Linked DNA regions of Neurospora crassa OR74A. The protein of the gene in region 2 interacts with the protein of the main gene of each other region in a biochemical or structural test. Links are inferred from orthologs where the notes say so. Each region holds a gene or a part of one and is shown on either strand. Other genes may lie near its edges. The genes, in order: mak-1 and NCU02558.

What was found.
Region 1: of the proteins of NCU02558 (region 2) and mak-1, one has a biochemical effect on the other in vitro, tested with the Saccharomyces cerevisiae proteins (2 studies listed by BioGRID). The link is inferred for Neurospora crassa OR74A from reciprocal best matches to the Saccharomyces cerevisiae genes RLM1 and SLT2.

Annotation. Positions count from the first base shown.
Region 1 is NC_026505.1:5,920,176-5,924,092, forward strand, and holds the start of mak-1 (mitogen-activated protein kinase MKC1), read left to right. Parts: upstream 1-997; 5' UTR 998-1,665; coding exon 1,666-1,778; intron 1,779-1,901; coding exon 1,902-2,034; intron 2,035-2,104; coding exon 2,105-2,171; intron 2,172-2,236; coding exon 2,237-2,551; intron 2,552-2,612; coding exon 2,613-3,226; 3' UTR 3,227-3,917. UniProt on the Saccharomyces cerevisiae protein: Serine/threonine protein kinase involved in a signal transduction pathway that plays a role in yeast cell morphogenesis and cell growth.
Region 2 is NC_026501.1:2,729,883-2,733,799, reverse strand, and holds the start of NCU02558 (MADS-box MEF2 type transcription factor), read right to left. Parts: upstream 2,605-3,917; 5' UTR 1,946-2,604; coding exon 1,890-1,945; intron 1,825-1,889; coding exon 1,668-1,824; intron 1,603-1,667; coding exon 1-1,602. UniProt on the Saccharomyces cerevisiae protein: May function as a transcription factor downstream of MPK1 that is subject to activation by the MPK1 mitogen-activated protein kinase pathway. Binds to the DNA sequence 5'-CTA[TA](4)TAG-3'. At least some RML1 target genes are involved in cell wall biosynthesis.

The DNA.
Region 1 (3,917 bases), on a different chromosome or scaffold from region 2:
CCAGGTCTTTCAATTCGGTGTTGTCCGCAAACCGTCACCTTGACGCCCTCAGTTAAAGCCAAGATCTGCCGAGGCATAGTGTACATGGACAATCAAACTTTATGATTTTCCACCTCGTTTAAGCAGCAAGCAACGATCCGTAAACAATGCGTTCCCCCTTCGAACTCATCGAGATGATGGTAGTGATGATTGCGAATCTTTTAGACGCCGGCCAGTGGGGAGGCGGCCGTAGTCGCGCGCCAAAACCAAAAATGGCCGCCGGAGGAGGGTTGCAAATCACAGCGGGGACGCAGCGGGTGGGGTAGAATCAGGTACCGTTCCCTTGTGATTTCCGCTGTGGAGTGACTTTGCAGTAACATTTGTTGACTGGGCAAGGGGAGACCGCCGCCCAAAACAGGCGCCCCCAAGCCAGGCGATCCCTCTGTTTGAATTCTCGGTGTGTTTTTGTTTTGTTTCAAGGCGGCAAGCATTATGGTAATGGCCTTGTTCTGTTTCGACGGGGGGGTGGTTTTTTATGGCTTTATAGTTGTTAATGCGATGCTCACGGGCCTAGATTTCATTGCATTCAAGGATGAGAGAGGCCGCCATTGTAAGCAATGGAAACTACCTAAGTCTTGGACGAGTTAAACGTTCAGCAATGAGTAGGTACTTAGTACCCCTGGGCAATGATGGATGGGAAAGTGGAAAGAAGGACAGGAAAAGAGGCAACCAGCGACAAGCCTGAAAACGGCCATCATTCGTCAGGAACCGACAAGCCGCCATTCGTCAGTCACGTTGGTTTGTTGCACTTTTGCGCCCGCTGACATTGGCGGGCTCTTGGGAATGGAAGCGGACCCCGCGTTGCCTCACAGACAGCCCCTCGCTCAGGTCCCGTTCTGGTGCCGGGATCAGCGCAGTGGTCGGTCGCATGGTCGGGGTCCCTCGGCGCCCCTCTTTCCTCTCCTCACCATTCCAGTGTCCGCTTCGAGCCCAGGGGACCTAGGTAGCCACTGCACCATTGAGGTCCACGGCCAAGCAGGTCCTTGACTTCGCTAAACACGAGCTTCTCTTCAAGCTCTCCCCTCGTCACTGCTCGTTTTCCACTTTCAATGATATCCATCGTCGGTTTAAACAACCTAAGCTGCTCGAATCCCGTCTCCATTGCTTCTCTTAAAATACGCCAACCGTAAACTAGCAATCAATAGCACCAAGTTGAAGCCAAAGCGCAAGCTCAGCTCCGGCCCAGTCAGCAAATTGCCCGAGTAGGTGGCACACATATATCCCATCACGCACTAGACTACAGTATCCCAGGGGCTTCCGACTCTTCAGTAGTGTACTTGTGCCAAGGACCACCCTACCCTCTGCAAACCTCATTTGATCATCACCACTTTTTTCCTCTTTCTTTCTTTCTCTCCATCTCTGCCTGGCTTCAATGCTACATTAGCCGGTTGTCTATTGCCTTGCTCCCGCCTTTTCAATCTACATCTTACTTTTGTCCCGTATACTCTTCCTCGACACTTCTCAAATACCCCCGTCCGAACTTCTCAAGACATTGATCGCGCTTGAGCTTACATACCCCACGACACCACCTCCAGGCCGTTGCCAAACTTGCGCCTAAAGGTCACCCGAACCACCTCTCTCTCCAACTACGAACCGTCCCCGAAACACCACACAGACACATTCGCCATGGCTGATCTCGTGGGTCGCAAGATCTTCAAGGTCTTCAATCAGGACTTTATTGTCGACGAGCGCTACACCGTCACCAAGGAGCTCGGTCAGGGAGCTTATGGCATTGTCTGGTACGTCCACCTGCTCCTGCTCCCGTTCCTGCTTAGCCGCTTGTGCTTTTGGGCCGCGGCGCATCTACATGTGTCATGCCATATTCTCATGATTCAAGCTGACCTCCCTTTCCTCCTAAACAGCGCCGCCGTAAACACCCAGACGAACGAGGGAGTCGCCATCAAAAAGGTCACCAATGTCTTCAGCAAAAAGATCCTAGCCAAGCGCGCCTTGCGCGAGATCAAGCTCCTCCAACACTTCAGGGGCCACCGTAACGTAGGTTGCTCACATACACATATTACAATCGATGCATGGTAGCTGACCGTGGCGATTTCTGGTTCTTTAGATTACCTGCCTCTACGATATGGACATTCCCCGGCCAGAGATGTTCAACGAGACCTATCTCTACGAGGGTACGTCATGGCTCATGCCTCACGAGAAGATGGGCCTACATACTAACCTGGGGGTTCTTTTGCAGAGTTGATGGAGTGCGATCTTGCTGCTATCATTAGGTCCGGTCAGCCACTTACAGACGCCCACTTCCAGTCCTTCATCTACCAGATTCTTTGCGGTCTCAAGTACATCCACTCGGCAAACGTTCTGCACCGTGATCTCAAGCCCGGTAACCTGCTGGTTAATGCCGACTGCGAGCTCAAGATCTGCGACTTTGGTCTTGCGCGTGGTTTCTCCGTCGACCCCGAGGAGAACGCAGGTTACATGACGGAGTACGTTGCCACGAGATGGTATCGTGCTCCTGAAATCATGTTGTCCTTCCAGAACTATACCAAAGCCAGTATGTCTTTTCCTCAAGCTGCCCCCTTGATATCGTTTTCAGGCTAACACTCATTCCTTAGTTGATGTATGGTCCGTTGGCTGTATCCTTGCCGAGCTTCTCGGTGGCCGCCCATTCTTCAAGGGCAGAGATTACGTCGATCAGCTGAACCAGATCCTGCACATCCTCGGCACACCGAATGAGGAGACCCTCTCCCGTATCGGCTCTCCTAGAGCTCAGGAATACGTCCGCAACCTGCCTCCCATGCCCAAGAAGTCCTTCCAGCAGCTCTTCCCCCAGGCCAACCCCGACGCCCTCGATCTCCTCGACCGCATGCTCGCCTTCGACCCTACCAGCCGTATCAGCGTTGAGGATGCTCTCAAGCACCCCTACCTTGCCATCTGGCACGATGCCAGCGACGAGCCCGACTGCCCTACCCCCTTCAACTTCGACTTTGAGGTTGTCGATGATGTCGGCGAGATGCGCAAGATGATTCTCGATGAAGTCTTCAGGTTCAGACAGCTTGTGCGCACCGTGCCCGGTGGTCAAGGACAGGGCGGTGCTCAACCCCAGGCTCCCGCTCAGGTGCCCATGCCTACTGATGTGCACAGCCAACAATGGACTGCTGAAGATCCTAGGCCACATGAGTATGGCGCGTACAACGGTGGCCTGGAGGCCGAGCTTGGTGGCATGTAAGCAATGACGGAAGGATGAAACCTTTCTATATACGATAATGAGAACGAAACGCTGGTTCGGCAAGCATCTGATGCTCAAACACATCTTGGGTTGATGCCTTGGCTGCAAAAAACAGAAAAGACGACGACATAGTATTATCGTGTTGGAAACCCCCCGAGAAGGGAACGGCTCGCCATTGAGGCGGTCTTCAATGACAGAGTGGGACAGCAGTTCTGGTCGGGCTGTCAACAGTCAGCCCTAGGAAGGCACTTGGAAAAGCAGGCGTCAGAGGCAGACCGGGAGTTCTTTTCGATGTCTGGCCAGATACCAGAGGGTGGTGAGTGGCTCACCGGAGAGACTCTTTCTGTATCTCATTCTATTCTCCTAGTCAGGAGGGAGGACTATGACTAAGTGGAAAGTTGAAGCGATCTTCAGCGAGGACTTTGGAGCGAGATGTTTACGTTGTCATTTATAGTCATAATTCTATTGGATACGCTGAATGTTGACACTGCAATAAAGCTCTTGATCGTGGTGGCGTCGTCCAGAAGAGTCCATGGTCACGCAATAAGCCTGGCATTTGGAATGGCTTTTACTGATTCTCCTAAGGTATCTATCTCGAGGTATCTAGTCCCAACCCCTTATTTTATGTGACCGTATGTATACTTTTGTGAGCCCAGATTAGTACAAAAAGCCAAAAAAGAATGTTTGAACG
Region 2 (3,917 bases):
TTTCGTCTCGGGGCTCTTCCTCTTCAGTGGAGTGGGATCGTCTCTCAAGAACGATGGCCCGGTTCCATTAACAGGTGTAGCAAAGTTCAATGGACTAGGAAGCGTGTTGCTCTCCGCGCTGATGCCATATCCCCATTCAGGATAGAATCTGCTGGGACTAGGCAGCAGATCGCCCAGAAATCGAGATGGGAGAGCAGAAACGGGAGTGTCAATGTTCATATTGTTGTTGTGCTGAATTGTTGATCGAGGGGCAAAGGGATTAGGTGGTCCTGTGGCACCCGCAGAAGGTAGATTGGAGGCCGATGGTGACGGTGGTGGAAGTACAGAGCCGGTCTTTAGCGGTTGTGGAGCGGAGTCCGTTGTGGTTGTAACACGAGGAGAACTTGCCGATCCAGCAGCGCTTCCGCTATCCGAGTCGTCCGGAATCTGCACCTTAAGCCGCGGTCGCAGTGGTCCACCTCCCACACGTAGGTGTTGGGGCCGGGATGGCGGAGGAAGCGTCGATTGTGAGATTACCGTCAATGAATTCGTTCTTTGAGCTGACCCCTGGCCATGTGCACTGGAGAGCTGGATAGATGGTGTAGAGGTATTAGGCTTAGATACGTTACCGCCATCGACAGACTGCGACCGATTGTTCGGCGACTCGGACTTGATTTCTGGACGGAACGCGGCAAAATGCTGTGACAGAATAGACTTGTTCTCTGGTTCGATTGGCGTAAAAACACTGCCCTGCCCAGGGTTCTTGACCGACGTATTCAGCGCGGGGATCAGCCGGCGTGGTCTCTCCATAGATTCTGGCTTTGGCGGTGCAGGAGGTTGAAGGTTTTGATTAGGCATAGACTGAGGTTGTTGCTGCTGGTGACGGTGCTGCTGCTGCTGCTGCTGAGGCGGTTGAGCTGGCTGTGGCGGAGGAGGCGACATATTTGCGCTCGGTAGCCGCTGCGGCTGCTGTGGAAGCTGGGCTTGGTGAACTTGAGGAGAGGCAGAATGGCGATGTACTTGTTGCTGCGGGATCTGCGGTTGGAGAAGTTCAGGCGGGGACGTAGAATGGCGATGTGCTGGATGTGGTGGTGGTTGAGACACAAAAGTCGGAGGAAGAGGCGATCTTCTCTGGTCCTCGAACTGTTGCATGGAATGAGCAGGTGGTTGAGACGGCTGGAAGGGATACTGGGGATGCAGCTGTGTGGGAAGACCGTGAGTAGGCGCCATGGAAGCAGGTGGTTGTGAGTTGTAGATGGGAGGCGATGGCACAAAGGCGCTCCTATTTTGAAGTTCCTGGGCGACTCCCGCAGGACGAACCGGCTGCCCGGGCCTCAGCCTTCGGATATCGTTGACAGATGGTGGCCGAGCGACGAAGGGCGGCTGGGGAGTATGGGCGCGGCTCATTTGATGTCCCGGCTGGGGCCCGAACGCGCCGTTTGGTACTGGGGGTGAGTCCGACAGACTTGTGTGCCGGAGAAAGGGGTATGAAACTGGCGGGTTTGGTTGGTACATCATATGTTGTTCCCCTTGCGAATTAGTCCCATTCTCGTCATCGTCGTCATCGTCGTCGGCGCCACCATTGAAATCGGAAGGGCCTTTGTGCTCATTAGGTCCTCCGTGCTGTACGGTGTATCATGGTAAGTACTTGATGTCGAAAAAAAACAATCTTCTTGGGGTCTGCTTACGTAGGTATATCGTTGTAATATATCGCGAATATTACTGGATGAATATTCGTACAGCTTTTTGTTGTTGCCAAAGATAATAACGGCAACGTCGACAGAGCACAGGACGGAAAGCTCATGGGCTTTCTTGAACAACCCCCCTTTGCGCTTCAAGAATGTTCTGTGTGTTCCGGAGCATCAGTACCAGCTACAATGGAGCATTTTCCACCGAGGTTGAACGCTTACACAGAGCGATTCCTGTCATCCTTAATGGCCTTGATTTCTATCTTCCTCCTGCCCATCTTGGCGAGGTGTATGTGCAGAGCACTGCGATCAGATCAATACAGGTGTGATTTTATCGGGGCCACGGAAGTGGAATTCTGTATCAGTTATCAACACGATGGATTCGACAAAACAGCAACGTGTGAGTGGTGAGACAACGCGTTGGGAAGTCGGGATGTCGTCGGATGTTTGTAGTTGACAGCGCCGAGTATGCGGTCCTCGGGTCGGAACGGGAGTGATTCGATCCGATGATGCTGTGGAGGCACGATTGGCATATATATGCGACTGGCACTATGTCGACGCTTGCAGTGAAAGAACAAGCAAAGGCCTATCGATGGCCAAGGACAACGAAATTGATGCAGAAGCTGGATGTGCTGCTAATGGAGGATTCGGGGAGGACGTCTGCTAGAAGAGTGAAGTCGTCAACACCACCGGCAAGGTCGCCAGCTCTTCGTCGGCAGCCGGTATCTGGATATAAAATATCTAGCAATGCAAAGGATGTTCGAAGACGTTGTAGTACTGCAGTACCTTGCGGCGCCGGTCGATGCAGATGAGGCTGGCTTGATGATGCTAATAATAGATCGTCTTCTTCACGTTCACACGCAAGTTGGGGGAAAGAGGACAGACGAGCGACGGGAGTGCGCGAAGGGGGGAGAGCCCAGGGCCTGGGGCACCGCTGCACTAGTACCTCCTAACACACAGTTCGGCTGGGGATGAACTGACGGACGGGCTACCCATTCAAGCCACTACCGTAGGTTGTGGAGGGGGGTGGAGGGTCCGGTCCCTTGGGTGCCCTGCCGTGGAGCGTGGGTGCCACGGTGCTTACCTATGTAGTGTACACTAGGTACTGTAGCAGCCGGAGCGAGGTGGATACCACACCACCCAAGGGACACCTACATCAACTGCGGGCAATCACAACGAAGGAAGTCGAGGGACACACGAGTCAGGTCTTGGCGGACAAGGCTCTCCTTCATCTCTCATCCCCGACAGGGTCCATTGCGTTGGTTTTCGTTCTTCTGCCCATCTGGCACGTCCTACTCTGGCCTGTATTTGCGCCGGAAGTTTGGACGAGAGGACGAACGTGAAAGCCCAAAACACCCCGCAACTGGTTGACACCCTTCCGTCAGCCAGCCGACGCCATCTCGCTTCACGCTTCAGGGACACTGTGAGGCTGTGACAAACATCCGATGCACAGTAAACAGAGTTTAGACTAGCCCGTCCCCGTGGAAAATCGAGCCGCATTTACCTAGGCTTGGATTTTCAGGACAACAAAGGACGCCTTTCGACTTGGTCAATTCCTGGGGAAGACACAAGAATGCAAGGTTTGGGTTGTAGTACGAAGATCGATTAAGAAGCCGATTGTTTCGTTGCGGATGAAACATAGAGCGTTTGTGAAAGCATTCCTTCGTTTTACCCCCCGAAACGCCCCTCACGTGCACAAAACTAAGCCTTTTAACCTCCCAGTAGAACGCCCCCTCGCAATGTCTGCTCGGAGTCGTTCCAAAAGATTGCGTGCGTCTTTCACTGTCGGTGTAACCAGGGTTCAATGACATGCAACGAGGGGGGATAGGGTACGACATATTTCGTTGCTTGATGAATTGACTAACCTCGAGCTAACCTCGCTCCGCAACATGGATGTCGATCAAAAGCCTGCACTAATTTGCCGGAACGATCTGATATCACCCATTCAACCATCCCGGCTCACCATTGATAATGAAACGAACGAATTGCTTTGCCAGCAGTGTTGATTTCAACAAGTATATGTCTCCTTTTGCCTTCTGCTAACCAATTCTCAGCGCGTTGTAGCACATGTGCGTTTGGCCATAGCTTGGTTGAGGTTGAAGTCGCTGTCACAGTGCGACGACTGACGATGCTACCCCTGGTCATCCAAATGCTTGGATCGGTTCGTCCCAGCTCTCTCCTCCCGCCTTCAGCCCGGTACGTACCCTCGTGGACGTCTCGGTATGCAAGAAAGGTACATACTACATACAG